Linked DNA regions of Drosophila melanogaster. The protein of the gene in region 2 interacts with the protein of the main gene of each other region in a pairwise test. Each region holds a gene or a part of one and is shown on either strand. Other genes may lie near its edges. The genes, in order: Atg4a, CG14770, CG30060 and CG5539.

Region 1 (9,355 bases), on a different chromosome or scaffold from region 2:
CTGACTCCCATCTATAGAAATCCGCAGTGAATTGTGGGAAATATAATTTAATTGTATCTCAACCAAAAATCAATATTGCCAACGGGGAATCGTGCATTTTAAATCTTTCACACAGAGATTTATGGCCCATTTAATATTAATTTGCATGCGTGTTTTCAATATTCAATTATTTCATCTGCAAAATTAATTGAACTTAATCGCACTTGCAGCACAGTCTGGGCTACGTGCATCGGGACATAAAGGCGGAAAATGTCCTGCTCCTCTCCGAGGATCGCCTCAAGCTGGCCGACTTCGGTTTCAGTACCCAACTCATCAATGGTACGGGTGAACAGCCAAGCCAGTGCGTCGGCAATTTAATCAACTTTCCCATTCCCTTTGACAGGTGCCAATCAAAAGCTCGACACGTTCTGCGGATCCCCTCCGTATGCGGCGCCCGAGCTCTTCTCCGATGACCACTACATAGGGGCGCCCGTGGATGTTTGGGCCCTGGGCATCCTGCTCTACTTCATGGTGGTCGGAAACATGCCCTTCCGGGCACCAACGATTCCCGGCCTGAAAGCAGCCATCCTGAAGGGTGACTATCTGCTGCCCGGCCAGCTCAGCTTGCCCTGCATAAGACTTATACGTGAGTGGATAAATATTAAATAATAAAAAAACTGCTTTAACCTAATATCTTCGTTAGAACGCATCTTGATTCATATACCCGCCCAGCGGCCAACCATCGACGACATGCTGAACAGCCAGTTCGTGACCTGTCCCAAGCTCAGTGCCGATCTGATGCAGTGGGAGATCAACCAGCACACCAAGCCGGTCAAGAGGTCCATCTTCTGGGTGCGCAGCAAGTCGCATCGGCTGCGGAAGTCCGCCTCACTACGGGATCGATACGCGGAGGTGGTCAAGAAGCCGGCCATTAGCATGAACACCAGGCAGCAGGACGAGATGTTTGTGCAGAACTTCCTGCAACCGATCGAGATGGGACACGAACTGTTGGTCCCGGTGTCAAGTCAGCTGAAGGAGCCACAGTCCACCGAGCAGGCGAAGCGTCCAACCAGAAGGTACATGTTCTGCGGCAGCCTGAAGAAGAAGGTCACGCCCATGGAAACGGAACCGGAGAAGCAGCTGGCCAACGGTGGACAGTCAATCGGTTCGGCCAAGATCAATCCGTGGAATGTGGAGGTGGCCGAGGATTGCCCCCTGTTCAAGAACTACGACGCGGAGACGGGCAGCTGCGTCATGCTGCCCACGAACACCGAGGATCTGAGCCAGCTAGGTGCCCTGGAGTTCGAGGCACGCCAGATCCTGGCCGAGCTGGGCCTCACCTCCGAGATGCTGATCAACGCCAGGCAGAGCGGGCCGCGCTCCGACATCATTGGCGCCTACAGGATCGTGGTCAATCGGTTGCAGAAGCAGTCCTGGCTGGCACGAAAGCACGTGGAGATGGCACTGCACAGCGAGCCCAAGGTGGAGAAGCGGATTGAGAGGTCGTGCTGCATACTCTAAGACATCCGAAAATAGTTGTTGAATGTTCATATTACTCTCCTGGTTCCGCTGGGTCTTTGAGTTCCCCGAGAGGAAAGGCAAACTGGGTGTGTCGCTTTTGAAAGGAATCTAAGGTTCAAGGAACTCAAATAGTAGCTCAAAAACCTTTCCTACTAGAGGCTAGTCCGTTTCGATCAGCTTTAAATATCCAGTGCTTGATTTTGAACCAACAAATTGAGATTAGAAAATTTTATAGTGAATACAACATAGAATTTAACCAGAATATCGAGAATTAGGATGGATGAATTGCAAAAGTTAAATGCATTCGAAGCGCAAGAAACATAAGTCGCTTGAATATGAATAGAAAGGATTATCTTCCGATAGTAGGAGACAGTTGGATACTCTGATCTGCAAATCCCAGTTTGCCTTTCTGCGGGAATCAGCCCGGAAGGCCAAAGGTCAAGCCCAATTAGTGTCAATTCGCCAGCTGCGTAGCCGCGTGTTTGTTGTTAACGTAGATTCCTGCATCCTCATCCTGGTTACTCATTCGAGAAAGTTCCTTGGTTCGTGTAGCTTGAGTTTGTCCAGCCGTTGAGTCCAGAGGCGGATGGCAAAGTTGATATATACATACATACATATATATATACATATATAGATATATACATATAGTCCAAGTATTATGTATTTAGTTGTTGGTCCATTTTTGAGCATATACAGACGAATATACGAAAGGAAAATGAATATTACGATTACAAACATATAAATACACACCGGGCTAAGGCGATTGCCTCGATCTCATCGAGTCTTCAATGTACAACGTTGCATAAAAATGTTTAATTGATCATCAAAAAGCGGTATGTGTCCGTAAGTGTCGCTCTGTGTGTGTGTGTTTTGCCAAATTGTCTCCCGTGGAGTCAATCGCGTACAATAAAGCAGCATTATGAATCGCTAAGAACCGCATTCGTACAAATCGTAAACATACTAAAATCTAAATCTCAACCACTCGTCTAATTATGCACTTTAGCCTTAGTTTATTGCATTCGCAGCATCCGCAGGGGCTCGACCTCCCGGCCCACTCTCTTTCTCCTCATTGGGTGCTCCACTTTCGCCTGGCTGGGCTTCATCTGCTCTGGTGCGGCGCAGGCGCAGGCGCTCCGCCGGCGACCTCTCAAATGACGGCTCTCTCACTGGGCTTTTTGCCGCTGCCAATGGCGCCGCTACAGCCGGCGTCGCTGTCCCTGCCGCTCTCTTCTGGAAAATGGAGTGAATTTATTGAGTGAAATCGGAGTGAAATTTCGGACTGTTGATTCAGATTACAAGCTGTGAAGTTATAAATAATGGTCTTAATGGTCAGCTTCAACAGAACCAACTTACCAACTATGGCAAAAGAGTCCGAATCCGAGGTGCCCGCAGGCCAATCGATGTCCGGCATGGTGGGCCAGTCGATGTCCTCCGTGGTGTCCCAATCGACCGCGCGGGTTTGACTGATCTCGAAGAGCGCAGGCGAGCAGAGGCTGAGCACCTCCTCCTTCAACTTGGTTAACAGGGACTCGAAACTATCACTGGTCTTGCAGAGGAAACAAACCGCCAGCGAGGGGTCCATGGCGGAGAAGTTCAGGCGAGCAGCATGCTTTTGATGGTAGGTCTCGTCGTAGTCCTGTTCTGCCGCAGCAGTTTTCTGTGCCACGGCGCCCGTTCTCTGCGTGGTATGAGGATCTAGGTAGAGAACCTCATCGTCCACATAGCCCAGGAAGTACAGAGCCTGGTTTGGTCGACCTCCGATCATGCCACAACTGCTGTCTAGTTCAAGGCAGCGCTTTAAGGCAGGCACGTAAAGCGGGTTAATGTCTGTGATGCCCAGGCGCAGGGGGATTATGAGCAGCAGTGGCTTCCACGAGCCTCCTTCTCGGCACGACGCATCTACAAAGTGGACAATGTTGTTAGGCAAATAGTCGGGCTATTTAGGCCATTTTCCACACTTACATACGTCATCCAATACCACTGTGCTATCCATGGCCACGTGAATCGCCAGGGAGCTCCAGTCATCGAAGCGCACTAGTTTTCTGAAATCAGCAATTGATTATACCACTTATCCACCATGTTAGGCCAATGGTCTTACTTGAGAATCTGGGCTACTGTATTCGGTCCCAGCCACTCGCCGACCGCTTTGTTCTGGGACTCTCCCATCTGGGCAATCTGGTGTATGGAGTAGAAGCTATTCCTTACGTCTTCAAAACGGTTCACGATCTTGAGGTAGGTGGCATCACGGCAGTCCGGCGTCCAGAACCAGTCGCGTCCCAAATGTAAGTCGATCAGGGCCTGGGCGAGAACCATCTGACCACAGCGCAGCATGCAGCCCCAGCCCTTGTCCGTGGTGAGCTGGACTTCTCCCAACGGCGAAAATCCATGGCGATATGTGCACCACAGGCGCGACTGAATGTCCCGTCGGATGAGCTCTAGCTCTGAAAAGGGATAGGGTGTTGATTATGGATTTCAGTTTGGTATCCATCGATGATAATCGAAAAAAGGTTTGGGAAACCCCTTATGACTCATGCTGACCAATATGCTAGATTTGTACCCATATGACAGCATTAAATAAGGTCTCATCTTACCCTGTATGGCGTTGTACTTCTTTCCCAGGACCCAGACGTCGGTGTTTCTTCGGGGAATGTCCTCCGGCTCTCCGCTGCCCACCGCCTGGCCAACTGCACTAGCGAGGACGCTGTCTGGGCCCAAGTACGCCTCGAAGACGCTCTCCATGATCCGCGCTAGCTGGTCGCTGAGTCCAACCAGCATCTACTGCCCGGTGCGCTGGCAGAAGGAGAAGGGGGTGGACACCAGGGCCTCCGCTGCTCGTCTATACGATAATTGCCTTCGAATGACGTTCTGTTTTTCGGGTGGGCCTTTGTTTTGGCCTGTGTTTTCGCTGGCAGCAACGGCAATGCTCCTGCTTCTGGCCCGAGGTCACAGGGGTTTCATTTGTTGTTGGCAGTGACGGGCGCTGATTACAAACTATGCGATAACCAGCATTTGATCAGTCTGCGGCTGGTTTAGTTTGATTTATTTTTCTTTTTTGTTGATTACAACGCAGTGACGTAGCTGTTAGTATGACCGCAACTGATAAGGTATTTTACTTTGCCAAAATACCGAACCTTGCACTTAACATGACCATAACATAGGAAATAACAGTATTTTTCCAAACTGTTAATGAAATGCATTCAAAAATGAAGTTTTTTAAAAAATATTTAATTTTTTTCTTATTTTACGCAAAGTATAGATTTGTAACAATGTAAAAACTTCAAAATTGCACGTGCGGGACTTCAAACTAGCTACGCTACCTTGAGTGCGCAGAATTTGTTGTTCAGATCGAAGAAGTCGTTTTCTGGATCGGCATCCTCGACCATTTCCGCATTGGGATCCGCGATGGCCTCCCTTAGCTCCACTTTCCTAGCCGCCTGACGCTGCTTCTTCAATCGCTTCTTCTGCAGGGCCTTTGCCGCCGTCGGATCCACCTCCAATCGCTTCCAAGTTGGTATAAACTCCGCGCACCAGTCGTACAAGTAGCAATAGAAATCGAACATCAACTTGGAGTCGGGCAGCAGGAAGTTCTCAACATGGTAGCGGACATCGGCACGATTCCTCAGTACATCATACATGTTGTAGAGAAAGGCGCCGCAATAAAGCTGGTTCATCCTCGGACTCAAAAGTGGAAAATCCAAAAGAGAATTTAGCCCATTGAGTTGGTAAACCACAGCCTGAAATTCAGCAAATGCGTGGATAACCGTGGTGGAGTACAAGTCAAACTTCTTTTTGAAGATCTCCTGCATATGGAAGTGCGGCAGTAGGCGTTCCTGAGTTAAATAGCAGTCCGATTTGGGTACATGAGCCATCCGATCTGGAACAGAAAGCTCTAGCAGAGCAGGTTTGATGCCGCGCTTAATTCCCTCGGCAGCTTCCTTATCCCTCACTGCTCGCTCTGCTTTCAATGTCTTGCCAAATCTTTTAAGGAAGGTTTTCACCTCTCGTTCAGCAGGGATTGTAACATCTATGGTTCGTAGGACAACCAAACTAAGGATCAGCGAGTGAAGATGCAGCAAATCACAGTGCTCCGAGCGATGTAACCAGTAGATAATGGCCAGAAAGTACAGCCTCAGGTCCTCCGGCAACTGGTCGAGCTTGCTGAACAACTTCTCCGTATCCGCATTGGGAGCATTGTCTTCGAATACAGCTCTTAAATGCCTAGCATCCGGCGAAAGAGGATCAAACGGATAGGCAGGCTTCTTTTCAATGGGCATCTTGAAATACCTCACGTTCGTCACTCGCAGAGCTCTGGTGAGGTAGGTGAGATAGGGGACTGTCGAACCCTCTATATCCATATCCACTTCTAATGGTAGCTCAATTTTCTCACACTCTACGTGATGGAGAAGAGCGAACACGTAGTTCAGGATGGGTAAGGCCACTTCATTGGAGTCGTGGAAGGGAAAGTGCTCGATCTGTGGGTTGTTGATGTACTTGCGCAGGTGCATAAGGTCCACGAAGCTGCGGGGCAGGTGCGCGGGATATAGTTTGTCCAGAAACCATTGTGGGAAGAGTAGCGTTTTGTCTTCCACTTCCAGCTCGAGGCCTTCATCCGCCTCCTCTTCTTCTTCATCACCCGAATCAACGTCTTGATTTTCTTCCTGCTGCTCCTCATCTTGGTTATCAGCTTCCTCCTGATCCTCGCCTTCTTCGACATCTGAAAATTTTTCATCGGAGCTAGACGAATGTTCATCGTCGCTGCATTCCTCTTCACTGACGGGTTCTATATAAGGAAAAGCATTCTCGTAGTGCTCATCGAAGTAATCGTAGGCGTGGCACAACTCGTTGGAGTAACCAGAGATGGCTGCATTCACTTGGGAGACCAGGGAATCACGCTGGTTCTGCAAGAATATTATTTTTAGCATAAATCGGAAAAAGATATCTCAAGCAACGAACCTTTTTCAGTCTCGACAGCACTTTAGCCAGAGCAGATTCCGCCGTTTCCTCCTTCAGCCATGTGAGGATGACCTGTATGCGCTTCTGCTGGAGCTTTAGTTTGCGACTTCGTCCTGCTTTGCCCATTCCCGCAGCAAAAAAGTTCTTGAAGGCACTGCGGGCAATATAGTCATTGCCCAGGAGGGCGGCAAAAAGGGGTAGCTTCTCGGGACTCAGAGTTCCTCGTCCGCAGAGATGGGACACCCGGTAGATGCAGCAGTCGAGGTACTTGTAGGTCTTGGAACTGCCTTTTGTACTGGCTGTCAGCCCTGTGGTTTGAATGCCAGTCACAATCTTGTTGGCCCTGGTGCGCTTCTTCACATTCTTGGCCTCGCAGTGACGTAGATCTCGACTGTCCTTCTGGTTGCTGCTGTTCTTGTCCTTCACCTGCTTGGTGAGAACCTGGGGTACATGGAATCGCTTAGTATATGCTGGAATCCAAATAACTTATGCCTTACCTTAACAGTCAGCGTGATCAGCGGGATGTACTTGACGTTGTGGATGTAGAAATCCGAGTCGTAGGAGAGCACTGGGCAGTTAAGTTTCCTGGCCAGAGCAGCCAACTCGTCGTCCGCCTCAAAGACGCACCTCATCACCGGGACTCCGCAGTCGCGCACAGCGTCCACGAAAACCTCCTTGAGGTGCAGCGGGAACAGCGTGATGGATGCATTGGGGTTTATCTTCTTGATCACGGAAATCTTGTTGCGCAGCCGGGTGCTAACGGTCCTCAGCTTGCGCTCCTCGTACCCGCCGTCCATGAGCACATAGGGCCGAATGTTGCACTCGGCCAGAACCTGGAAGAACTGCACCACGGCGCGGTAGAAGTCGTCGTAGTCGCCGCCGAAGGCGGAGTAGCTCCCGGTGACATCCTTGTACAGATTGCAGCTCAAGTTGTCGCCATCGATGACCAGCGCCGTGGAGTGCAGCTCGTGCGGCTTAAGGTAGATCTCCGCGCGCTGCGCTATGTAACTGGTCAGGCCGCGGACTCCCATTTTCCCGGCGCTTGCCTATTTTCCCAATTTTCTATTTACCTATTTTGCACAAACTTTAAAAGCGTGCTAATAGTGATGTCAGTTTGCAGTGCGATACTATCGATGTACATATCGATTCTTTAGCGTGGCCGTTCGCTGCCGTTTGGTATATATGAGCGATTAGTTTGGTATCTAGGGTATTTCCCGCAGCCGGATGGTATATTCCGGGGATGGCGCCGCGGTCACACTCTGTCCCGACAATTCCAACCCGACGCTTGTCTGCTCTCCACCCGCGCATCAAACGTCGAAAAATCGTAACGTCGCGAGTGCTACGCGGTGGCCAGGAGAAAAATTCGCCAGCAATAGCAACACTTGTACCGAAAATCTAAAGGAAACTGGGAAATGTACTAGCACAAACACAGCGAGTGCAGTGGAAACCGAAATCGCCATTGAATCGAAGAGCGCGTGCATATATACGGGTTCCGTTGGTTCCGTTCCGTTTCTTGTCGCTTTTCTTGCACACACTTTACCACTTTACCTTTGCGTCTCTCGTTTCGTGCGTGCGTGTGTGTGTGCGCGGAGTGTGGTGTGCGTGCGTGTGTGTTGTTTTTGTGTGTTCGTTTAACTAAAGCACAGGTAGAAGGAAAAGCAGCGGAAAAAAGAAAACCATGGGCGAAATATGCATATGAAATTAAGTAAATACAAGGCGACAGCAGCAGAAAACATCCAGTAGCAACGAGAAACAACAACAACAATAACACACGTTAATAACTCAGCTTTGTGCGTCTTTCGTCTGCGCTTCACATAGTATTATTTTTCTCTTGGATTTTCCACACAAAAACACCATGAGTGAGCGAGCGAGAGCGACGATCGTGATCACCGTGTCGTGAATGAATTTTTGTCAGTGTGTGCGAGGCGTGCTCTACGCACACACACACGTACGTAAACAACACAACCACACACGGCCCATCATCGATCACCAATCACCTGTGTGTGTGTGTGCGGCATTTAATAAATAATTGTGTGCAAATAAATGTTCCAAAAGGAAATTGTTAAGCCAAACCAGCAAAAAACGTAAATCAACCGTGCGATAATTCGTCCTAGAGTTGAAAAAAAAAGACGGTTCAAAAGCAAGTGCGTGTGTGCAGAGTTCTTCTGGTGTCTTGGGAGCTTCGTTTTACGGATACGAAACATATATAACTTCCCTCTTTGCCGAAAAAGGTGAGTTCAAAATCAGGGAAAAATCCCTTTCCCATTGGCCAAGGCCGTTCCGGGAAATCTGCGAGTGGTCTTGGCCCACGTTTCCTGTCTTCCGCACATTTTCACACGTCCTGCAATTGCAATTTTTTCCGATTTCCCAACTCTGCACCTCCTGTATGTTCGGCGATTCCCACGCCTCTTTTTTTCGGGGCAGGTATTCGCAGGTAGCGGAAAGAGGAAAAACCCTCGGGAAAGCCGATAAACTAGAGAAAACCTCTGTTGGTGGGCCGAAAAAACCAGAAAAAATAGAAGAATTGAAATGTTTTCCCTGGCTGCTGAAACAGAGAAAATCGGGCGAAATTAGGCACCCGCTGATTCCAGAAAATTGCTCGTATAATAGAAACATCTCACTGGGGGAGAAATAAATTATCGTTATTATCATCTGCAGTTGCAATTTGGCACAATTTCGATATGACTGTGCTCCCATTTGCCCGGCGATTATGTAATTTTCGCCGCTGTGCTCGAGAATCAGGTTCATTTTCCATATGAAAAAGGGGGCTTTGCTGCAGACATTGCATATATGCCGACGATCTGGCGACCACCGACAGTTGCCAGCAATTTCCGGCGCTTTTTGGCAACTGGAAATCGAGCACAAAAGTTCATCCCAGGGCTTAGAGAGCCGCAAAAGGCGT
Region 2 (7,885 bases):
TACCTCTGTGCGCCATGTGGTGGAAGTTACCACCACCGCCTCCACCGCCGCCGCCACCACCACCACCGCCGCCTCCGTGAATGGGCATGCCCATGCCCATGCCCATTCCCATGTTTACGCCCATGCCCATGTTCATGCCCATCGGGTGCATTTGCTGCATGTGGTGCGGATGCGGGCCGCCCATGTTGTGGTGGTTGTTGTTGTTGTTGTTATGATGGTGGTTGTTGGGGTGATTGTTGTTGTGGTTGTTGGGATGGTGGTGCTGCATGTGGTGCAGCTGCGGATGGTGCTGCGGATGCTGGTGTGGATGCTGCGGCTGATGATGATGCGGCGGCATATGCGGATTGTGGTGGTTGTTGTGATGGTGATTATTGTGGTGATGAGGTGGGTGCATCGGTCCACCTGGGCCCATGTGGGGCGGACCACCGCCTCCGCCACCATTGCCACCTCCGATCTGGGCCATAAACTGGGCCGCCTTGGCCTTGCCGTGTTCCTCGGCGAGTCGTACCCAGATTGGCTGGGATCCGCCCTCCGGCACCGTGTTGTTCAGCGCCTTGATCGCCTCTTGAGCTTCCTCGCGCTTATTGTAACTGCAAGCAAGAAAGCGGGTTTCAAAAGCAGAATCGAAGTAAGTGCAGTTCAGCCACCAGTCGAACTCATGATAAATTTGGACGTGGATTTCTGTGAGCATACAATTAAGTGGGGCACACTGGACGGGAATTGAGCACCGTGACCTAATTTCGAATCGTGGATGCTGCACACGCAGATCGCACCCGTACTCACCGCACAAAAGCAACGCCGCGCGGTCGTCCAGTGAGCTTATCCCGCAGGATGTTTCGCTGAACAATCAGGCCATAGGGCGAGAAGATGCGGTCGAGCATGTCGTCGTTGATGTTTCGCGACAGGTTGATGACGTACAAATTCGTATCCTTAATGGACTGCCCACCCGGTCGAGCATACGACACCTGAGGGAGACGAAAAAGAGAGTCACAAAGGAGTCATGGGAATTCCGGGGGATTCTAACGCACCTTTAATCGCTTGTTGCGCACATAGAAGCCATTTAGCTTCTGGATGGCGTCCTCCGAGTCCGACTCCGTTTTGTAGTCCACGAAGCCGTAGCCGAAGCTATATCCGGTCTGTTCCGTTGGCGGGCATACAAAGCAGAGGGGAGTGTAAGCTGCATTCGTGTGTACATGCAACGTGCGACAGGGATGGCACCTGTTACGTGCAGTTCAGCAGGTATTCTGGGCGCTCAGGCGGCCACAACCGAACTTACCTTGAAGTCGCGCATTATCTTGCAGGTGTTGATGGGCCCGCAGCCGCTAAAGAGGTTGTACAGTTCGCGGTCGGTCATGTCCTGTGGCAAGTAATTGATGATCAGATTGGTGGCGCTGGTTCGGTCCACTTGCTGCATTTGCTGCTGTTGGCCTGCGGAGTTATCGTTGCCCTCGTTGTCCTGGCTGTGGTGTTGCTCCTCGTCGCCAGAGTGCTCCTGGCCGTCGCCACCGTTGCCGCCATCTCCATTCTCCTGCTGCATGTTGCCGTTGCTGTCGTCGTCATCGTCGGTGCCGTCATCACGGCCCACATTGTCGCCGGATCCCTGCACCGAAGCAGCGAATAGTCGGGAATATACGCGTGAAAACAGGTTCGTCGGCTCGCTAAGAGAATCCAAAAACTCACCTCTATGTCGGAGGACTGCTCGTCGTCGTGCTCCTGGTCCTGCATCTTATCCGCGTTGGACATGACCTTCTGTGTCAAGCCTTGATAGCTCCTGTTTGTCTGGGTTTCTTGCGTGTTTGCGTCGCAGTTGGCGCCACGAGCTGCAACGATACAAGAGAGTGCAAATCAATTAGTTCGCCAAGAAGAAGTTCAAGAGGGATTCCGATTAGGAGTCGCAGTAGGGACGAGCGATGCTCCTTGTTGCGCGGCTGCAGGATGCAGATTGAGCGCAGCTCCACACTCGGGACTCCGGAACTGCACTTCCTCTCGGCAAAATCAGAATCCGAATATGTGTGTGTACATCTCGGCAGCCGAGCCAAGGGGGAGGAGCCGGACGGAGGGCGCCAGCTTTGCTGGAATGCGGTTGCACTCGGTAGCCTGCCACTGCCCGCCCCTGGTCTTTTTAGGGGTCCGTACCAGGGAGTCCCAATAGCAACTCCGGCGCTACCCGCAATACTTGGAAAAAGCTGCTGGAAAAGTAACTACCAACACTCGCGCACTCGCCCATACACGCACGCACACATACACACGGCAGGCGATGCGTCCGTGTTTTTTGGCTTGGGGCCGTGCAGCCGAAAAAAGCAACACGAAAAAGCGTAGGCAGCACGGAGTCCTCGGGAAGCAGCCAGCGGCGGCCACGGAATACTCTGCAGGTGCAAAATACTCACTTTTTAGCAAACTTCTTCACAAACTGCACCGGAAAGCAGCGAGTTTTGTGCACTTCTTGCGTTTCCAAACGATATACAATGGAAGTCAATTCTTCTTCGATAGCGGTGCGATTTGTATCGGAACCTATCGGGGCCAGCAGTTCTTTGATAGTTCGATAACTCATGCCGTCCGCCTCTGGAAGGCATCAAGTGTTTTAAACCATTTTTTGTCTAATTGCCATTGTTAAGATTATTATTGAATTTCTTCAGTACTTTATAGCAGTTATGCCAAAAACAATTTTTCGCCAGGGTTGAACCTAAAAATATACCAGAACACAGAAATACCACAAGCGGTCGTGGTGCGATAAATTGCCTGCGCGTTCAATTATTGATAGATCGTTATCGAAGTTCACCTGAGCAGTTAAATACACTGTGAAAGAAGTTGTGGCAAATTCAGAGTGGAGCAATCAAAAAAGTTTAAGCAATATAATATAAGATCTCTTGATTTGGGTGGTACTCTATACTCTAGGTCAACGCTTTATTAACACAAGAAAATTAACGTAGCAAATCCTTAAACGCTAACGAAATCCCCACAGCTCATTTGGCATTTCCGATTCTGGTAGTCCAAGTCCTACTCGTGGTGCGAGTAGTGCTCGTAGTGCTCCGAGTGGTGCACCGGCTCCTCGTAGTGGCCGTGCTCGTGGTGCGACTCGCTGTGGTTTTCGAGCACCAGTCCGTGGTTGTGGTTGTGCTCACTCTTCGGGTGCAGGATCTTCAGCTTCTGCTTGGTGCCGCCGATCTCGATAGGCTTTTTCACCAGGTGCTGGTCCTCCTTCTTGATGTAGACGGGCACGGCATGGTAGTGGTGGAACTTGACGCTCTGGTGCGAGGTGGCGTGCTTGTGGTCCACCTCGTGGTGCAGCTCCGTCTCCTCGTGCTCCGGCTCGTACTTCACATGGTGCTCCGGCTCGTGGTGCTCATGATGGTCGTGGTGCTCGTACTCCTCGTGCCCCTGGTGGTAGTCGTGGATCTTCAGAGCTCCACTAACGGCCAGAAGGGCCAGGCAGGTAATCTGCAGGAATGGGTAATATAGTCAATGCGGTATTCCATTTTAAACTAAAAATCTAATGTTAAATATATTTCCAAGTTGTTAATGAGGTGGTGAGGTTGAAAAACAGAACATGCATTCCATTTTCCATTCCGAAATATTCAGAAATATTTGGTTCTTGTTTTTCATAAACTATCTTATTGACTTGAAAACGTTCATTCCATTAAACGAATCTATGTTTGTAAAGTGTTTCGGTGCTTACAGCCAACTTGAGCATGGTTTTCTGGTTGCTTTTGAATCACACACTGGGGCACAATCAAAAAAAATATTCGAAACTGTAGACCGTTACGCGAAGTGCTCCTCTTGGCAGTGGCGAACTGAATGTGGCTCTGCGTTCGGGACCAGATTCGATTTATACCCGGTTTGGGCCAATCCCACCAACGCTGGCCAACCTGTAGCTGGAGTTGTGGCAAGCGAAATGTGAAATGTGCAACACCAGCAACAATGGCAACACACGGCAACGAACTTCAGTCTGTTGTTGTAATTTATGACCGCTGCCTGCCACAATTGTTTGGAAAATTTGGAAAATAGGTGCGTGCGATAGTGGTTCAATTAAAGCGGATTACGTATACGGCATGTGGCCTTTGCTGCGGCGGCGGCCAGTTTCCTGCGCAGGAGAAACCGAAACCCGTTGTCAATCAACGGGTTAACAACCACCCAGTTGAAAAACCAGTTGACGTTGAAAAATTCGATGCAAGTGCAAGGCAATTAGACGGTCAAAGATAGGCAAATAGAAAAAATCACAAAACGGAAAGAGAGGCCCAATGTAATCAATTTTGCCCACGTGAAAGATCCTTCTGAATTCCAAGGACAAGCACTAATGATCGGGCAGTAAACACCATCTATAGGCTAATTGCAATTCTATTAGTTTATCACCATTGCCAATCGTTTTCCCAATCCCAACGATAGCCACCGATAGACAACTTCCCGATTGCTCGCGACAGTTCACTCATGGGCCAATCCCTGATGATTGATGATTAATGATGAATGGATTAATGATGGATTGAGATGAAGAGAAGGGATTTTCGCAATCCCCACTGCAAGCTGCAAGTGTCGGGTGAAAGGTGCGTCCACTTCGATCGATAAACGAACGAAGTGAGCAATTAAAATGCAGCACATTACCATTAGATAATGACTTCGGCGGCGGGTTAACGACTCCACTTGGGAAGCTCGCGAATTGCATAGCCCAAACCCATTTCGTTCCGAATGCCAAAATACCACTTGAAGCGATTTAGTGGGTTAGTGTGCTCTGGGCGGGCACGAAATGGCGGCTGTGTGCACATATAATCGATTTGAAAAGTAAAAGTAAACTGCTTTCCCAGTCGCACGATTTGCATAACAGCCACAACGCCACCACGCCGCCAGTCTGCAGTCTGCCGAGTCCATGTCCAACATGCACCCGACATGTCGAGCAGTTTTAATTATCAATCCGGCGATAAATCTCCTTATATAACTCCATAAATTGACAGGAAGTGCTGCTTACCAAGTCTGTGAAGTAAAAATTAAAGGAATAGCGTAACTGGTTCGGGAATCCAGTAAAAGGCTTGTTTCCTAGTCCCCCATCATTATTCTATGCTTAGATCCTACTCCCAAGAACCGAGCACCCAGCTTAATTTATCATTTTTAATTTAGGATACGCAGTCACCGACTATCTCTCTTCGAGTGCGGACGTCTGTGTCTTTCCAATTGTGTGAGCTTTGCTTATCGCGTAATTACCATCGCCGTTACATTGATATTTATCATCTTATCTTCTTGATCTTCTTATCAACGCGTACGTGCAAATCAAAAACATTCAATATCCATAAATTTATTAACCATGGCCCCCGGGCCACTCAATTTGGGGGATAATCGCTTTGCCAGTCTCAGCGCTAGCCCCAAAGCTAAGAAAAAAAGACCCTTTCAAAAATTACAAGTTGATTTCCCAGACCTCCCTGAAACGCAGTGCAAAAATCCGAGATATTTAGTGGTCTCATCAAAAAACTCTCCGAAAACCATATCCGACTACAACTGCTTTGCTGTCCATAGAGCCCTTAAGTATATCAGCAAAGACATTACATCTATCTCTAATCTTCGGGATGGTAACCTTCTCTTGCTGGTTAACTCCAGGGAAATTAGTGACAAATTTATCAAAGTGACTTCTTTACCTGGCTTATGCGATATCGAGTGCAAGCTCCACAACACTCTTAACTTTGTCAAAGGCACCATTTACGCTCCCTGTCTTATTAACATTCCAGAAAACGAAATTGTTGAGGAACTAAAATCACAAAATGTACACAGCGTATTTAAATTTACCAAAATGATCGACGGCACCCCCAAACCTTTTGGAAAAGTTCTCGTAACATTCGACCGTTTCACTCTTCCCAGTAAACTAACGGTTTCCTGGCACACAGTTAAGGTGTCAGAATATATACCCAACCCGATGAGATGTAAGTCTTGTCAATTATTAGGCCACACATCAAAGCACTGCAAAAACCCACCTGCCTGTGTATCATGCAATCTCGCTCCCCACCTTCCCGTGCCATGCACTCGCATTTTCTGTGCAAACTGCACCGGCCAACATCCAGCCTCCTCACCCGAATGCCCACAATACCAAACACAAAAACAACTGCTCCACATCAAAACAAGCAAAAAATGCAGTTTCTATGAAGCTCGCACTATACTAAAACAACAACAAAACACAACAAATAACCCCACGCTTACCTACTCGACCGTCGCAAACCAAAGCACAGCATCCGTGATGCTTGTCAAAAAATCCCGAAACCCTAACACGATTACAAACACCGACTTGCCCACCAGCTCGACAAAAGTACCAGCTCCGCTCTCACCAACGTATCCCACTTCTCGGACGAACTCTTTGAATCTCGAAGAGAATCTTACTTCCTCCCCAAGCACCTCTGACAAAACTGATTTCTCTTACCTAAAAAAAACATGCATCGAACGATCTCGCTCCCTTAGGGCGGAAGCAAACGCTCTACTAGGACAAACCTACAACGACGACAACAATACGTTAATGACCTCAAGATCCAACTCAAACGAATCAATTGCTTCACAAACCTCAAATCTACAAACAAAAATCAACACAACAGACTCAGACACTATGGACGATCCCGATTCCTAGTCCTGATCCTCTCACCCTTACCTTCATATACACACACCACAAATTAATAACAGTCCAACAAAAAACAATAAATAAAAAAAAAAAAATTTTTAATCATGACAATTACTATATTACAATGGAACATCCACGGCATTTTTAATAATTACAACGAACTGACACTACTCATAAAAGACCATGCACCCGATATTGTATTTTTGCAGGAAACCAAACTTCCATGTAATTCTACAAATTTTATTTGCCCCAAAGAATATAGTGGTTACTTCCACAATTTTTCTTATAACACCTCAGCCAAACAAGGCATTGGTGTTCTTATTAAAAGGAATGTCCCACATACATACCGTAACATTAACTCCAGCATACTCTGCTCCGCACTGCAGCTTAATTTTGAACAGGTCATTAATATTGTTAATGCGTACATCCCACCAAGTCAAATTTTTTCATCTTCTGACATATCAGAAATTCTTCAAAATCTTAACGGATCCACAATACTCCTGGGTGATCTTAACTCATGGAGTCCTTTATGGGGTTCACCTCGCACAAATACAAGGGGTAAAAAAATTGAAACCGTAATTCTTGAAAACAGCCTAATTGTTCTTAACGACGGTTCCCCGACTCACCTTTCAACTCACAATACGTTCACCCACATTGATATCTCACTGATATCTCCACAGATAGCCCATATGTGCAGCTGGTCTATATCAGATAATCTCCATGGAAGTGACCACTTTCCCATAACCATCCACATAAACACACCTACCCGTCCCGATAACACTTTACCCCTGCCTAAATACAAGACAGACCAAGCGAACTGGAAACGCTTTAACGAAAGTTGCGAAAAATCAGCAGCATATTGGACGGTCGGTTGCCTAAATCAGCAAGTCGCACAAATGACGAAAGTCATACGTTCAGCTGCAAACTATAGCATTCCCCAAACGAAAAGGGTGATCCACAAAGCCAAGGTGCCATGGTGGAACGCTAACCTTCAACAGCTTAGGGACCAAAAGCAACGCTTGTTCTCGTCCTACAAAGCCAATACGAATGATACAAACCTTATCCGATACAAAAAAGCAAACGCGCTTTTCAAAAAAGCTGTACTTTCGGCCAAGCGTAACTCCCTTGAAAAATTTACTTCCAAAATCTCCCCAGTATCCTCCACAAAAAAGGTCTGGTCAGATATAAAACGCCTAGCCGGCATCCCTCCCACTCCGTTCAAATATATCAAATCCAACTCGGGTACTCTAACTGGATCATTTGATATCGCCGAAGAGTTTGCCTTATCTTGGTCTAAATACT
Region 3 (7,350 bases), on a different chromosome or scaffold from region 2:
CGCAGATATGTATATTTTGGTTGCCACATATGTTTACCAGATAGATCTACTTGAGGCGATTTACGTCAGACTCCATAAGACCAAATCGAATTGATAGTCATTCAAACGAATCGGTGGAGGAAAGCCTTTGCCTATAAATATTAAAGACTAATTTACCTTAACTAAGTCCAATTGAGTACATACATATGTATATAATTTTGTCGATTTTCCAGCCCAGTTGTAATTGCGTTTTGCTTGTGCGAAGGTCATCAGGAGTTGATTACGGGTACTTATATGTGCTCACAGAATGCAAGGCATATTCCAAGAAACTGGAGCAATCGATAAACCCCATTGAGTAGACCCCATAGACGACCACTGACTGCACCATTCGCCATCCATTCAGGAATCCAATTCTCAAATCCCCACACGTGCAACGCCACCGGAGAATCCTTTCACAATCGAACCCCCCCTATGGTCGTTTTAATGGCTCTGCGGGCGCCATAATTCGGTTTGTTTTTGTTGCTCCGGGTGACCATGTGGTAATGGCCGGAAAACACGTAGCGGGCACGCAAATAGATACTTTTTCGTCACTCATATCACTTGGTCAGTGCAGACAGCTAGAAAGCTACAAAGTCTCTTCATTAGCCTCCGATTTCCGAGGTCGATGATCGCTGCTGGACTTTCCTATCCACCTACGCTCCCCACCCCCCAAAAAAACATAAATATTTGAATTTATCCATGGCTAAACTACCTTTCGTGTTTACCTGGTCGCACGAGGCGATTTCCCGGGGGAACTGGTGGGTTGTTAGGGCTAATTAATCCAAAGTAAATTGCAGGAATACTGAATCAAAGCAACCGTGTAAACAGATATACAGAATAGCGTAGCTACAATGCCAAACCGCTTTATAATTAGATTTAAAGGATATCACATCAAGGATACCAGCTCAACAGTGACTATATATGCGGATCTAGGGGATATCGTGTATCTTAATGACGTTTTTCAGAGGCATTTTGCATTGATGATTGTTTGGTTGGCTTACTTCTTCGCGTAATGACAACTAAATTACCCTCATGGGTGGTCAGTAAATCAATACTAGGCCATGGAAAAAATAGTAGCAGAAATAGTAAAATATTTGCAATTCAAGTAAAACACGCGATTTAATCGAAGCACTATCTATCTTTATATTATTTATATTTATATTATAGAAAATCTCTCACACACAATGAGAAGCACTTGAGGCGAGTTTTCAGGCCTTAATTATTTACTTAATACTTTTCTGTTTACGGTTTCAACTGTTTTTAAACAAGGGTATACTTATTTCATTGTTAAATGATTCAATATGTTTCATTTACACAATACAAGTGACTCAAACGTGATTGCGCCTAATGACGATGAGTTGGCAATCGACTTTAGCGTGATATCTGAAATATGTGGACATATATATTAAATCTTCTAGTACTCGGGTTAATCCAGTCCAGTGTGCCTTAGCACACAGCAAGCTTTTGAAAATCAAGCCATAAATTATAAAAATCGGCAACGTTGAATTAAAATGACAGTGAAACGCAAAATCCAAAGTGCAATAGAATTTCGCGACAGCGAAAAGTCTCGACGGTCCTTCGACTGAAACCACTAATTGAATCGTGTCGTGTCGCAACAGATAAGATCTGGAAATTGAGTGAAAGGTGTACCCGTATATTTGCAGCGTGATTCAAGCGATTCGCGGAGCCATGTTAGGATGGCAGACTCCGGCAAACACGCGAGTGGTGGTCACAATGGAGCGAACAGCGAACGCAGAAACGACCAGAACGGACGCAACGGACGCAATGGACACAACGGACACAGTCAAGGACGACAGCTGCAGTTCCTGGACAATCCGCCCCCCAGCCAAGCCACCTTCAATGTGCGCAGTCTGTGGCCAAGCATAAAGTCTGGTGTTCGCCGCTTGAGGAGCCAGTTGCTCCGGCGGACAGCCACCACGGGTCCAGCGATGGCTCCGTCCGGTGGAGCGGACTTACCTCCCTCGGACAATGATCGGGCTGCGCCATCCAGAAGCGGTGACGGGAACACGGAAACAGACGGCAGTAATCCACATCGAAGGCTGGACGAATCGTCCGTGATGGGCAGTATGCAGTCAGTGAAAAATTATATTAAAAGAACACGCCCAGGCCGGAAAAAAAGAAAAGGTGCATATGTTTTTTAACTAAGCCATTATACTTGTTAAAGTATATATATAAAATATATATGTGCGTATATATAGCTTTCATATCCCAACTAACAAATGAATTTCTTTAAAATTTCTTTTTTGAACCGCACTTGAAATTTTTAGAAATTTTTTAAATCGCTACAAATTATTTATCAAAATTCCATGTGGTTAGTTATTATGATCTTGCCATAAAATGTAATATTTATTTTAGAAAGTGAAACTTACGGTCCACAGATTTTCTAGCCATAGTTATTCGGAAATATGAGTAACTCAATATAAAGTTGGGAAAATATGCTTCCTAGCATTCATTAACTCGCTTGCAATACGATATATGATAGTTAGGGTACTTCGTTGGTCGGCTCTGGTCGACCTTCAAATTCCAAGTCATTTCAAAACATTTGACTTAAGGCGCAGTCGCGTTCTCTTCGCGCTCTCTTTTCGTACGTAGCTCTCCCTTGTTTCTCACCTTTTGTTTTGCTAGCACGTTTCGCTTTCGCTTTTGCTCCTGCATTCCAAACACCCCCCAACCCGATCTCCCAAGCTTCCCAGTGGTAGGTACGCAGTGTTTTGGGTTTACTGATAAATCGCAAGCTTCATAAGCTCCTTTTGGAGAATGCACTACGCAGCTTTTGAGGGGTGGTGGGTTGGACTCAAGGGGTTTCCAACCTGGGGGGGGATGACCCCACACCCCGCACATCGGGAAACCCATCCCTGTTGTCCTTTCTGGGTCCTTCGAGCTCGTGGAAATTTCATTTCAGTCGTAGTATCGGAGCTCAGGAGAGCGCACATAGTGAAAAGTGTGTGGTGGTGAAAGTGTGTCGCAGAATATTTGCTAATTTTAAGTAACTTTAGATAATCGTTCGTCAATCAGTGTCAGCTAAGCTATTATCAATCAAATTAACTTACTGAATATATCAAAATCGTTTAAATCTGTTGGCCGGAAAATCACGTGCTTAACGCATTCAACTTAATTGTGACAAATCGATACCTGAAACGGAAAAGTGCAGGCACGTTGCCAGGTGATGGATGTGAAAAAGTTATACGACCAGTTGGCCACGCAAGGAACATTGGTGAACCACTTTGATTAGGTGGTCAAATGGTGCTCCGTAGGAATCCCTTCATTGGCCGTGTGTATAGGCAAATGTGCATGGCACAGAATCCTCCGTACGGGATGAAAATTGTGTTTTCTTATACGCATTGATTGAAAAAGAGGAGGCGCAGGCGCCATCCCACAGGACTACTCTTATACCATTTGCCAATCGCCACGCCCACTTGTGGCTGATTATCCTTGCCGAGGCTGTCACCAGTGACCAACTGCCCTCCATCCTGGGGTTTCCCAAGCGGAATCAGGAGGAGACCGCTGGCGAGTGCATTGCATTCGTGCCCGTGGGCGATTGCGATTCTGGATCCGACGAGCTACCCGGGCCCGAGGAAGAGGAAGCGGAGGAGGAGACGGTGGAGTCGGTGGTAGCGGCGCCATCTAGGGATCGGGCAGGACGCTTCCGTTGTCCCGCGCTTTTTCGCCGGGCCAAAATGGACTTTCGTAATGTCTACAAGGCGATGCGCATTCGTTGGAGTCGTAAGTGACTAGAAAAATATTCAAATCTTTCAAATGATGGGGAAATTGTGTACACAAATATGGGATTCTTTGAAGACCAACAGTCTATAAAATAGTACAACTGAAATGCGATCTAGAGTAACTACTATAGAAACCAAACAATGAATTTATTTATTCGATTGATCGATTGATCAGTTTTAATTGATCTAGAACAACAGACATCTGCGGTTCTTGTTGTTCCATAAACAATAAAAAAAGCTTATATGCCAATTATAGCAAGCCTAGCTCCTCTTTCCTGTTTTGTCAACCAAAATTTTGAAATTCCACCACCATGCTGGTGAGCTGCCCGATCCTTTGTCCAGTTGAGAAACTGGTCACGGAACTCAAGAGGCACCACGTGATACCCCGCCTCTTTGCCTGCAAGCCAACGAAGGTGATCAGTGTGCTATATCCCTGCGATATCGACATCAAACCGGGCATTATGGTAGTGATTAATGAGACGCTGAAGCAACCGATCATTCGGTTTAAGGCCGATCCGGAACACTATCACACGCTGATGATGGTCGACTTGGACGTGCCGCCGGACAATAATACGGAGTGGCTCATTTGGATGGTCGGTAATATTCCGGGCTGCGATGTCGCCATGGGTCAGACGCTTGTGGCCTACGACAACCGGCGGACCATCCACGGCAGTAACATCCATCGAATCGTCTTCCTGGCCTTCAAGCAGTATCTGGAGCTCGATTTCGACGAGACTTTCGTTCCCGAGGGCGAGGAAAAGGGTCGTGGCACCTTCAATTGCCATAATTTTGCAAGGAAGTATGCGCTTGGCAATCCGATGGCTGCCAATTTCTATCTGGTGGAATGGTTATGGCGATGGACACCAACATACCTCGTCTCGGAACATGAATTCGAACCTTCAAATGGAAATGAAAATTAATAAAAGCTCGAAGTTTTAAATTAGTCTTGTTCTTATAATACAGTTCTTGGGACGACTATAATTTCATACTTGTATGTCCTTGGTATATATAGCCATAATATCAAATCATTGATATAGTAGCATTCAAAAGATAATAGCCGATTACTAATCAGCAAAAAATGAGAACTTAATTGAAACATCGCTGTCCACGGTAATAAATGCCGTGTAATTTTCCGATTTCTCACGTTTTGATATCACCTATTAATCAACGTTTTCATACATATTTTCAGATGACGAGGACTTCACCTCGTCCGCTGGGTACGATGCAGATGATGGGGAGAGGCGTATCATAAACCTAAATGGGCCACAGCCCACTAAGTACGGTAATAATCGCATAACGACGGCAAAATATAGGTGAGTGAGTACGAGCCATTTAGCGCCTGATAACTATCATGACCTAAATGAATGGATTAGACACAAAGTAAACAACAATCTGTCCCATTTGCATGCAGTTTCATCAGCTTTTTGCCCGCGTTCCTGTTCGAGCAATTCCGGCGTTACTCCAACTGCTTTTTCCTGCTAATTGCCATACTGCAACAAATCCCGGAGGTGTCGCCGACGGGTCGTTACACCACGCTAGTGCCACTGATGTTCATCCTTTCGGTGAGCGCCATTAAGGAGATAATCGAGGACATTGTAAGTACTAAGAGTAACATATAGCCAGTTGAGTTGTTGATATCTTTCCATGATTTGCAGAAACGACATCGGGCGGATAATGAGATCAATCACCGATCGATAGAGCGCCTGGATAGTGGCTCGTGGTGCACAGTTCGCTGGTCGGAGTTGACGGTGGGCGATATCATCAAAGTGGGAATCAATACCTTCTTCCCCGCCGATCTGATTCTGCTGTCGTCCAGGTGCGCACCCAAGTTAACCCCAATTTGTTTTGATACTTTATACGAATCTGATGCTTCCACAGTGAACCGCAGGCCATGTGCTTCATAGAGACGGCCAATTTGGATGGTGAGACCAACCTGAAGATTCGACAGGCCCTCCCAGCCACCGCTGAACTGCTGGAGACGAAGGATCTGCAACGATTGGAGGGCAGGATCGAGTGCGAGCTGCCCAACCGGCATTTATACGAGTTTAACGGAGTGCTCAGGGAAACTGGAAAGCCGTGAGTAATTTGTTATTAAATAGTTATGTAAACAGTAAGAGAACTAATTAAACAATGTGTGTAGTCTCAGAAGTGACTTTTGTCACCCTACTGCTATTTCAAATGAATAAAAACATCTTTTTTTTTTGTAGACCCGCTGCTTTGGGCAATGATCAGGTGCTCCAACGTGGCGCCATTCTTCGGAACACGGCATGGGTGTTCGGGATCGTGGTCTACTCCGGGCAAGAGACGAAGCTGATGAAGAACTCTACCTCGGCGCCATTGAAGCGCTCAACCGTAGACAAGCTGACCAACACCCAGATCCTCATGCTCTTCATGATCCTCATCTCATTGTGCATCATCAGCGGCTTGTGCAATCTGTTCTGGACAAGGGAACATTCGGAAACGGACTGGTACCTGGGCCTAACCGACTTCAAGACCAAGAGCCTTGGCTACAACCTGCTGACCTTCTTCATTCTGTACAACAACCTGATCCCCATCTCGCTACAGGTGACGCTTGAGCTTGTGCGTTTCCTGCAGGCCATTTTCATAAACTACGACATTGAGATGTATCACGAGGAATCAAACACGCCCGCCATGGCGCGCACCTCGAACTTGAACGAAGAGCTGGGCATGGTCAAGTATATATTCTCGGACAAGACAGGCACCCTCACGCAGAACGTGATGGAGTTCAAGAAATGCTCCATCGCCGGATACGTATACACAGCTGAGCGAACGCCGGAGGAATCTCAGCTAGTGCAGAATATCCTCGGTCGTCATGAGACGTCCGCCGTGATAGAGGAGTTCCTGGAACTCCTATCGGTGTGCCATACGGTAATACCCGAGCGCAAGGAAAACGGCAACATGATCTACCACGCTGCCAGTCCGGATGAGCGTGCTCTGGTGGAAGGTGCCCAGAAATTTGGCTACATCTTCGATACACGAACGCCAAAGTATGTGGAGATCAATGCGCTAGGCGTGCGAAAGCGATACGAAGTTCTGAATGTCCTGGAGTTCACCTCGTCGCGTAAGCGTATGTCGTTGATTGTTCGCACGCCGGAAAATAAGATCAAGCTATTCTGCAAGGGAGCGGACACGGTGATATACGAACGTCTGGCTCCTCAGGGTCAAGCCTTCCGGGAACAGACGCTGCGTCATTTGGAGGAGTTTGCATCGGATGGATTGCGGACCCTCTGTTTGGCAGTTGCTGACATTCGGCCGGATGTTTACCAAGAATGGAGCCAGACTTTCGACAAGGCATCGGTGGCTCTTCAGAATCGCGAGAGCAAGTTGGAGGACGCGGCCAATCTGATTGAGAACAATCTTCGTCTACTTGGCGCCACGGCAATCGAAGATAGACTGCAGGATGGTGTGCCGGAAACGATTGCCTCTCTGCTGGACGCCGGCATCTATATCTGGGTCCTTACCGGTGACAAGCAGGAGACGGCCATTAATATTGGCTACTCCTGCCGTCTGATTAGCCACTCCATGGATATCATAATACTAAACGAGGAGAGCCTCGATGTGAGTTGAT
Region 4 (8,039 bases), on a different chromosome or scaffold from region 2:
AATTAGGCGCGCAGTGTTGTTTTGTGTCTGCCGGAATTATTGTAAATTGGTGACAATTTCGCAAGGCGGCGTAATACATAGTTGATCTATTATCTTGTTACTGGAGAGGAAGAAGTGCAGGATGACAGACTCTCTGGAGTACAACGACATAAACGCCGAAGTGCGCGGAGTCTTGGTGAGTCGCAAAAAAGCCGGCGTATTTTGTCACATTTCGCATGACCGAGGTTTTCCATTTCCCTGCGCGCAAAAAAGTGTTCCGGACGCCTAAAGATGACCGAGCAGAACATCATCTTCAAGAACACCAAGACCGGCAAGGTGGAGCAGATCTCGGCAGAGGACATAGACCTGATCAATTCGCAGAAGTTCGTGGGCACCTGGGGACTGAGGGTGTTCACCAAAGGCGGCGTGCTCCACCGCTTCACCGGATTCCGCGACAGCGAGCACGAGAAGCTGGGCAAGTTTATCAAGGCTGCCTACTCGCAGGAGATGGTCGAGAAGGAGATGTGCGTCAAGGGCTGGAACTGGGGCACCGCCCGCTTCATGGGCTCCGTCCTGAGCTTCGACAAGGAGTCGAAGACCATCTTCGAGGTGCCGCTGTCGCACGTTTCGCAGTGCGTGACCGGCAAGAACGAGGTCACCCTGGAGTTCCACCAAAACGACGATGCGCCCGTGGGTCTACTGGAGATGCGGTTCCACATACCCGCCGTGGAGTCGGCCGAGGAGGATCCGGTAGACAAGTTCCACCAGAACGTAATGAGCAAGGCCTCGGTCATCTCGGCTTCGGGCGAGTCCATCGCCATTTTCAGAGAGATCCAGATCCTCACGCCTCGCGGTCGCTATGACATCAAGATCTTCTCGACCTTCTTCCAGCTGCACGGCAAGACGTTCGACTACAAGATTCCCATGGACTCGGTGCTGCGGCTCTTCATGCTGCCCCACAAAGACAGTCGACAGATGTTCTTTGTGCTCTCCTTGGATCCGCCCATCAAGCAGGGACAAACGCGTTACCACTACCTGGTCCTGCTGTTTGCTCCCGATGAGGAGACCACCATTGAGCTGCCATTCTCGGAAGCCGAGTTGCGAGACAAGTACGAGGGCAAGCTGGAGAAAGAGATCTCCGGGCCGGTGTACGAGGTGATGGGCAAAGTGATGAAGGTGCTGATCGGTCGAAAAATTACCGGACCCGGTAACTTTATCGGACACTCTGGCACGGCTGCAGTGGGCTGCTCGTTCAAGGCTGCAGCTGGATATCTGTATCCCCTGGAGCGAGGATTCATCTATATCCACAAGCCACCGCTGCATATCCGCTTTGAGGAGATTAGTTCTGTGAACTTTGCCCGCAGCGGCGGATCCACGCGATCTTTCGACTTCGAAGTGACGCTCAAGAACGGAACTGTTCACATCTTCTCCTCCATCGAGAAGGAGGAGTATGCCAAGCTCTTCGACTACATCACACAGAAGAAGTTGCATGTCAGCAACATGGGCAAGGACAAGAGCGGCTACAAGGACGTGGACTTTGGTGATTCGGACAACGAGAACGAACCAGATGCCTATCTGGCTCGCCTCAAGGCTGAGGCGAGGGAAAAGGAGGAGGACGACGACGATGGCGACTCGGATGAAGAGTCCACGGATGAGGACTTCAAGCCCAACGAGAACGAGTCCGATGTGGCCGAGGAGTATGACAGCAACGTGGAGAGTGATTCGGACGATGACAGCGATGCTAGTGGCGGCGGAGGCGACAGCGACGGCGCCAAGAAAAAGAAGGAGAAGAAGTCCGAGAAGAAAGAGAAAAAGGAGAAAAAACACAAGGAGAAGGAGAGAACAGTGAGTAATGTTTGCTTATTATTATAGCTTATGGTAACATGTTTTTATATGTTTTTATAGAAGAAACCCTCCAAGAAGAAGAAGGACTCTGGCAAACCCAAGCGCGCCACCACCGCTTTCATGCTCTGGCTGAACGACACGCGCGAGAGCATCAAGAGGGAAAATCCGGGCATAAAGGTTACCGAGATCGCCAAGAAGGGCGGCGAGATGTGGAAGGAGCTGAAGGACAAGTCCAAGTGGGAGGATGCGGCGGCCAAGGACAAGCAGCGCTACCACGACGAGATGCGCAACTACAAGCCTGAAGCGGGCGGTGACAGCGACAACGAGAAGGGTGGAAAGTCCTCCAAGAAGCGCAAGACGGAGCCTTCTCCATCCAAGAAGGCGAATACCTCGGGCAGCGGCTTCAAGAGCAAGGAGTACATTTCGGACGACGACTCCACCAGCTCCGACGACGAGAAGGACAACGAGCCTGCCAAGAAGAAGAGCAAGCCCCCATCCGACGGCGATGCCAAGAAGAAAAAGGCCAAGAGCGAGAGCGAACCGGAGGAGAGCGAGGAGGACAGCAATGCCAGCGATGAGGATGAGGAAGATGAGGCCAGTGATTAGGGCCATAAACACAACAAATCAATTCCATAAACACACACCACGCTCCTCACACACCCATGTCCCAAATCTAGTTTACATTCGCCTAGTTTAGTTAAGTGCTGCCTGTTGGATACAGACCCATACGTTTTTGTTTAATTAAAACTCAACAACAATTCGAAAGTTCAAGTAATTAAACAGAATTGATAATTGCCCGTAATGATTGATATCTATCGATTATGGTTTCGCTTGACTGGCTTTTGCCACTTTCGTCAACATTATAATGCCACAGTTTGCCAGTTTTTAATGGCTCTTTGGTGAACTTAGTGATGGCCACGTTGACAGAGTTATTCCTCTTGTTTGGGCTGTGGCACATTTTGCAGGCAAGTTCGACCGTAAGCTAGGCCGGCTGGGATTATGAACCGAACACTAGCTCACTTCAGGTCCAAGGAGTTGCCAAGTTCACAAACATCGAGTGCCTGAGTGCGGACGAAAACTTCACCACCGTTTCCCTGTGCCGATTGTACGCCGTAAAGAGGGATGTCGTCGAAATGAGTCTGCGGGCCAACATCCTGCGATGGCCAAAAGGTCCGGTATCGGTGAGTTAGTTTGCAAAGCTAGGGCGTTCCTGAATGCCATAGTTGAATAGCTATCTATAGTAGAAAATGCGAGTCCAAAACACTAGTAATTAAACAACTTGAAACCTATCCATGCCTAAAACCAATTTATGTTTTGAATTAATGAAATAACTATAAACCTGTTTGAGGTTTCACAAATGATTGTGCTAAAAGACGGCGACGGCTGGCCGGTTGACGCTGCTGACGCACTTCCTGGCCGCTGGTCTCCATCGCCGTCTTGGCCAGCAGATCCTCCACATCGTCATGGAGGTCCTCCAGCTTGGTGGCGGAGGCAATAGCAATGGCATTCTTGAACTTGCGCTGAGGTCGGCGATTAATTATCCTGGGTGATTCCGACGACACGTCGCTCTGGAACTGCTCCGCCTGCAGGTGCGTGGTGGCCTTCGAAACGCCCACCAGAAGCTCCTCAGAGTCGTCACGGAGGTGCTCTAAGCTGCCAACGGGACTGGAACCACTGGACAGATTTTGGACAGAGACGTTGGCCGAGTCAGTATCCTCGGAAGTTCTGCCTCCAATTCCTTCTCCAGTGGAGTCCTGCAACAGATCGGAAGTCCTAAGGGGAGCAGTGCTCGATCTCGACCAGAAGCTGGACACGAAAGGCAGTACAGAGATTTGGGTCTGTGCCACCAGCTGTGTCATCGAAGCGAGGGCGTCGATCAGGAGCTTCTCCTTGCCCCGGTGCAGGAAGTGATCGATCTCCTCCTGCCGCTTTGCCAGCACCGGACGCAGGATGGCGTCGAATATCCAGACATTGGCGGCCGGAGCGGACAGCACGATCCACACGACCAGGAGCAACTTGGTGGGCATGTAGAGCGGCAGCCAGGAGAGGAAGACGTCCGCCAGCACCTCGAAGGTGACCAGGAAGGCGTAAACTATCCAGTATTTGGCCCAGGCCAGGAACTCCTCGTCTCCGCTGTTCAGAGTCTTATAGGTTTGCCAGGCCGGTCCCATGGTGCCGTAAACGAAGAACAGGAACTGCGAAACAAGGCCAAAGAAACACATATCTAAAATATACGGTGGATACTAGGACTGCCAGAATAAGTGTTCTTCTTTTGGAAAATTCCGAATTTAATGCATGGGCTATAATCGAAATTGGCAGTTTAAGATCGATGTGCCTGTGTATCTAACTGTTTGTTTAAAAGTGTGGCGATATTCTACAGCCAGTTGTGTGTAAAGTGTAAAGCACAGCCTGCTGGCGTATAGCACCAACACCTTAGTGTAATACCAATATGTTTCTCCTTCAGATGCGCATGCAGCTGCTGAAGAAGGCCAGTGGCTATAAGCCCTTTCTCTACAATATCTGCCAGTCGGATGTGTGCGAGTATCTGGAGAAGCGGAATCATCCCTTCATTAACATCATCCTGAGCAGTTTCGGGAACAGAACCAATGTGAACAAGTGTCCGATTCCAGTGAGTTTGCCTAAGAAATGATTGATTATGATGTTTACTTCAGTTCTTCTATCGATTACAGCCGGAAATAGTGTTGGAGCACTTTCGGTTTCCCGTCAAGGTTCTGGACATGATGCCCCTGCCCTTCGGGGACTACGGACTCTTCACCACCTTCACTTTCCACCGATCGGAGTTGGCCCAGGTTAAGGTGTACTTCACATTAACAGAGTATCGCTAAAGGCACACAAATCACGAGTCGCATCGAGTATTTGTTATAAACATCAGACGCGGTGCAATAAACCAATTAATAAATTTGCCATAAATTTGTTAACTGCCCGTAAAAGAGCTCTCCGATTTGATTATCCCTTTGTAATTGCAATAAACGGATTTTAATTAAAATTATTAATGCGTGCATTTCATTTGAGTGTAATATGTAAATGGTTCTGACACGTGGGAACGCGAACCGATTTCACTGAAAAACATGGCTCATTCGGATAATTTTCGGCCAATCCAAGGTTAGGAGCATTGGCTTCTGATTCAGATCGGTTTTCGGTCGAAATTTCTTTCGCACAATGAGCCAAAAAGTCTTGACCCTGTCCAAAGCCGAACGCTCGTTCATGACATTTCAGTTAGGCAGGCATTCAAAAAGCCATCAAGAAAAGGTTCCCATACCATTCCCATTCACAGAAATCTCAGCTATTGAAACCGAAACCGAAACCGAAACCCAAATCAATTGTAATTGCGTCTAATAAATGAAATGTTGACGGAAATAACGCAGAGGCATTACGTGTGCGATTGTAAAAGGCAAATTCACAATTACCAGCATGCATGCATAATTAATTTGTGGGTCAATTGCGAAAACTTGAACTTCAATTCAAGTGGCTTTGGCTCCGATCCCCATCTCCACTGGGGTGTCATCTTTGGCACAACGACAGCCGCATCGCCTAGGAAGTGATTTTTTGTGGGCTTTCGGGATTTGCATAAATGCCGCCAATTAATTTTGTTATGCAAATTAATGGCAAACAATTAGCGATGCGAGACAAAGCCGATTTATTAATTGCACGTCTTATTATTATTGTTATTTTTTTTTTTTACAAAATATGTAAATGCACCATCTTATTTCGCACTCCGCTTCGTTCTTCGCCTCGTTTTTTTGCTCCACCTTGCTGTCAATGGCAATGCGCGCTTTATCGCTGATTAACCCAAACTTAAATGGAGCCTACCCCAGGCACCCGTTCCATCCGAGAATCGAGAGGACCGCGGCCAAAGGCTAAGGAACTTTGGCCAGGAGCTAATGACTCCGCGACGTGGGTGCAGGCAGCTGATGGAATAACCTCTGAATGCCAATGATTAAGTGCAAGCTGTTGGAAGGTGTTTTAGAAACATGTATGTGTTTGTGTATAATTTCAATCTGTTGGGTAAACAACAAGTTTCCATGCTCTCGTTTATTAAAAAAAGATAGAACACTTTAATAGTTTGCTTGTCTTTTGTCAACAGATCATTAGAGTTTATTATTCCATCTCCTTCCTGATAAGCAAAGCTAACGCTTGTGTTTCTACATTATCAGTACGATCACATGAAATACAGGAAATTAATAAAGCAATAAATGTTATTCAAGTGATTAACCGCCTTATTGCTTCTAGAAGCTGGTTCGACCCCCATCGAAAATTTGTTTGCCAAATCAGATCCACGAAATTGAAACAAATTGCTTTACAATGCGCTGACGAATGCGTCACTTACATTGCGGTTGTTATTGCGAATTTGCTGAGTTTCGGATTTTGATCAAGATTAATAGTGTGCTAATTGCATTAAGATTGTTGCCAGCGACAGCAACAGAACAGCATTCCCCAAAAAGCCGCAACAACCGTCCCGACCGTCGCAGCAAGTTCGTTGCTTCAGTCTTTTGTTTTCGCCTGCCCTTCGGCGTTATCCATTAATCAGCTGCATCGCCGCCAAAGGTCCGTGCAAGTGTTCTGTTTTGCTTTCAACAATTTATCGGTCGCAGTTTTGTTCACCAATTTGTAATAACAATATGGGCCAATGGCCAACAAATCGCTACTGATCGCTGGATCATCGATTCCTGGCGCCGATCCATGAATCAATTAACATGCCCGTCCGCTGGCATTGAACTTTTCTAATTGAAGATTAATGGCAGCTGCTGCTCTTCTGTAAACTCCCCTAGAGTGATTCAACACCAAGGTTTTGGAAGGAGCAGGAAAACCAAATAATGCTACTCAGGCTGACCTTCCTCTTGAACGGCTGAAGTTGGCTTATAGTAGGGCGGACTACTGCTGGTCCCCCCCTCTCTGGCCTAAATAATCGATGACATTGTGCATGGATTCCCGGTTAAATTTGTCCAGTTCAGCTGCTCGTAAATGCCGAGGGGAATGAATCATCATAGGGCTCTCATGCTGATGGCGATGGTCGGCCGAATTCTTTGCAATCTGCGTCATGAGATTCGACAGTTCTCTTTTCAGCAGACGGTTATTGATCCGTGGCTCCGTGATATGCTCATCCTCGTCCCTTGGCATAACCACTGTCACCAGTGGTGATTTCATAAAGCCGCGAAAAATGTTTCTACAGACTTTTTCGTGCCAGCGAACACCTTTCTCGACGACTGGACATAGTTTTCCCATAGAGTACGTGTTAAGCAGATTGAACAGGTGATTGGTGCTGTATGGGGCACTGAACCAGAGGCCCACGGACAGGATAAGCTTGAGACCAGCGTAGAAGGATAGGCCACCGAGCAGGAAATCCGTGAGGACTCCAAGTCCCTGCAGCAGTGCATAGATTACCCAATACTTCAGCCAGAGTTCGATGAAGTGTCTCTGGTCATGTCCAATAGCCCGCAAGCTGCTCCATCCAGGTAGCAGGGTTCCATAGTAAATGTATACCAAGCGCAGCATGCCCGCTGCTTAAACAGAATGGCAAACAAGTTAAAAAAAGTAATGTAAGGGTTTCGTATACTGTCGAACTGAGTTGATAAGCGTGGAGAGTGTTTTGTGAGTAATTTCGAAAGACGTTTAAGTCGAGGAGCTCTTTGGTCATTTGCCTGTAATGTAATCGGTGTTCATCGGTGTTCAGCACTGGTTTCCCACCGAAAATGGTTTATAATGATTGAGCTCGCATTCCGAAAAGCGGAGAGACAATCAAATAATTCCTTGTCACTTCCTAGAGTCGACAACAAATCTGTGGCCAGCACTTGGCATCGGCCATCAGTGGTTTGAGCCGGGCTAAGTGCCTGGGGGCTTTGCCCGCGGCTTTCGCAAGACCAGGAGCCAGAAGCCAGAAACCATGGGTATCCGCGTGTGTGCGCCTGTCTTTTGGCCAGCTTTATGCATATTTATAGATTTGTTTGGCCTGTTAGTCGGCCAAAACCAAAATAGACCAGAGCGCGGCGGGGAGAAAGAGACCCAGTTTATGGGCCAGATTGTATTAATGGCGGCGCCTTTTGGCCAAAACGGCGCTAGTGAAGCGAGTCCATTGGGCATTCGGTAGTCCGCGCAGCAGTAGCAACTGTTGCTTCGACCTGACATAATGGAAATAATAATACAATATAATCGATTCGGCTACAATTTTGCTCAACTTGTTCGACCTGTCTGCCCCT

What was found.
Region 1: the proteins of CG14770 (region 2) and Atg4a interact in a two-hybrid assay, tested with the Drosophila melanogaster proteins (one large-scale study listed by BioGRID).
Region 3: the proteins of CG14770 (region 2) and CG30060 interact in a two-hybrid assay, tested with the Drosophila melanogaster proteins (one large-scale study listed by BioGRID).
Region 4: the proteins of CG14770 (region 2) and CG5539 interact in a two-hybrid assay, tested with the Drosophila melanogaster proteins (one large-scale study listed by BioGRID).

What each region holds. Positions count from the first base shown.
Region 1 is NT_033779.5:1,076,164-1,085,518, reverse strand, and holds Atg4a (Autophagy-related 4a), read right to left. Parts: upstream 4,609-9,355; 5' UTR 4,276-4,608; coding exon 4,092-4,275; intron 3,942-4,091; coding exon 3,599-3,941; intron 3,543-3,598; coding exon 3,463-3,542; intron 3,400-3,462; coding exon 2,854-3,399; intron 2,731-2,853; coding exon 2,648-2,730; 3' UTR 2,141-2,647; downstream 1-2,140. Other genes in the region: CG4629 (uncharacterized protein), read left to right, coding at 210-318, 383-625, 683-1,500; ast (asteroid), read right to left, coding at 4,809-6,398, 6,454-6,894, 6,951-7,484.
Region 2 is NC_004354.4:1,365,166-1,373,050, reverse strand, and holds CG14770 (uncharacterized protein), read right to left. Parts: upstream 3,803-7,885; 5' UTR 3,692-3,802; coding exon 3,677-3,691; intron 3,439-3,676; coding exon 2,998-3,438; 3' UTR 2,875-2,997; downstream 1-2,874. Other genes in the region: ssx (sister-of-Sex-lethal), read right to left, coding at 4-590, 784-965, 1,029-1,136, 1,277-1,600, 1,681-1,743.
Region 3 is NT_033778.4:13,420,326-13,427,675, reverse strand, and holds CG30060 (uncharacterized protein), read left to right. Parts: upstream 1-4,028; 5' UTR 4,029-4,072; coding exon 4,073-4,681; 3' UTR 4,682-4,698; downstream 4,699-7,350. Other genes in the region: ATP8A (ATPase 8A), read left to right, coding at 4,951-5,074, 5,173-5,356, 5,417-5,577, 5,640-5,837, 5,969-7,340.
Region 4 is NT_033778.4:23,800,946-23,808,984, reverse strand, and holds CG5539 (uncharacterized protein), read right to left. Parts: upstream 4,175-8,039; 5' UTR 4,047-4,174; coding exon 3,156-4,046; 3' UTR 3,006-3,155; coding exon of another isoform or gene 2,850-3,005; 3' UTR 2,841-2,849; downstream 1-2,840. Other genes in the region: Ssrp (structure specific recognition protein), read left to right, coding at 122-175, 253-1,824, 1,885-2,430; CG13561 (uncharacterized protein), read left to right, coding at 2,736-2,789, 2,850-3,005, 4,289-4,453, 4,515-4,670; CG30177 (uncharacterized protein), read right to left, coding at 6,718-7,338.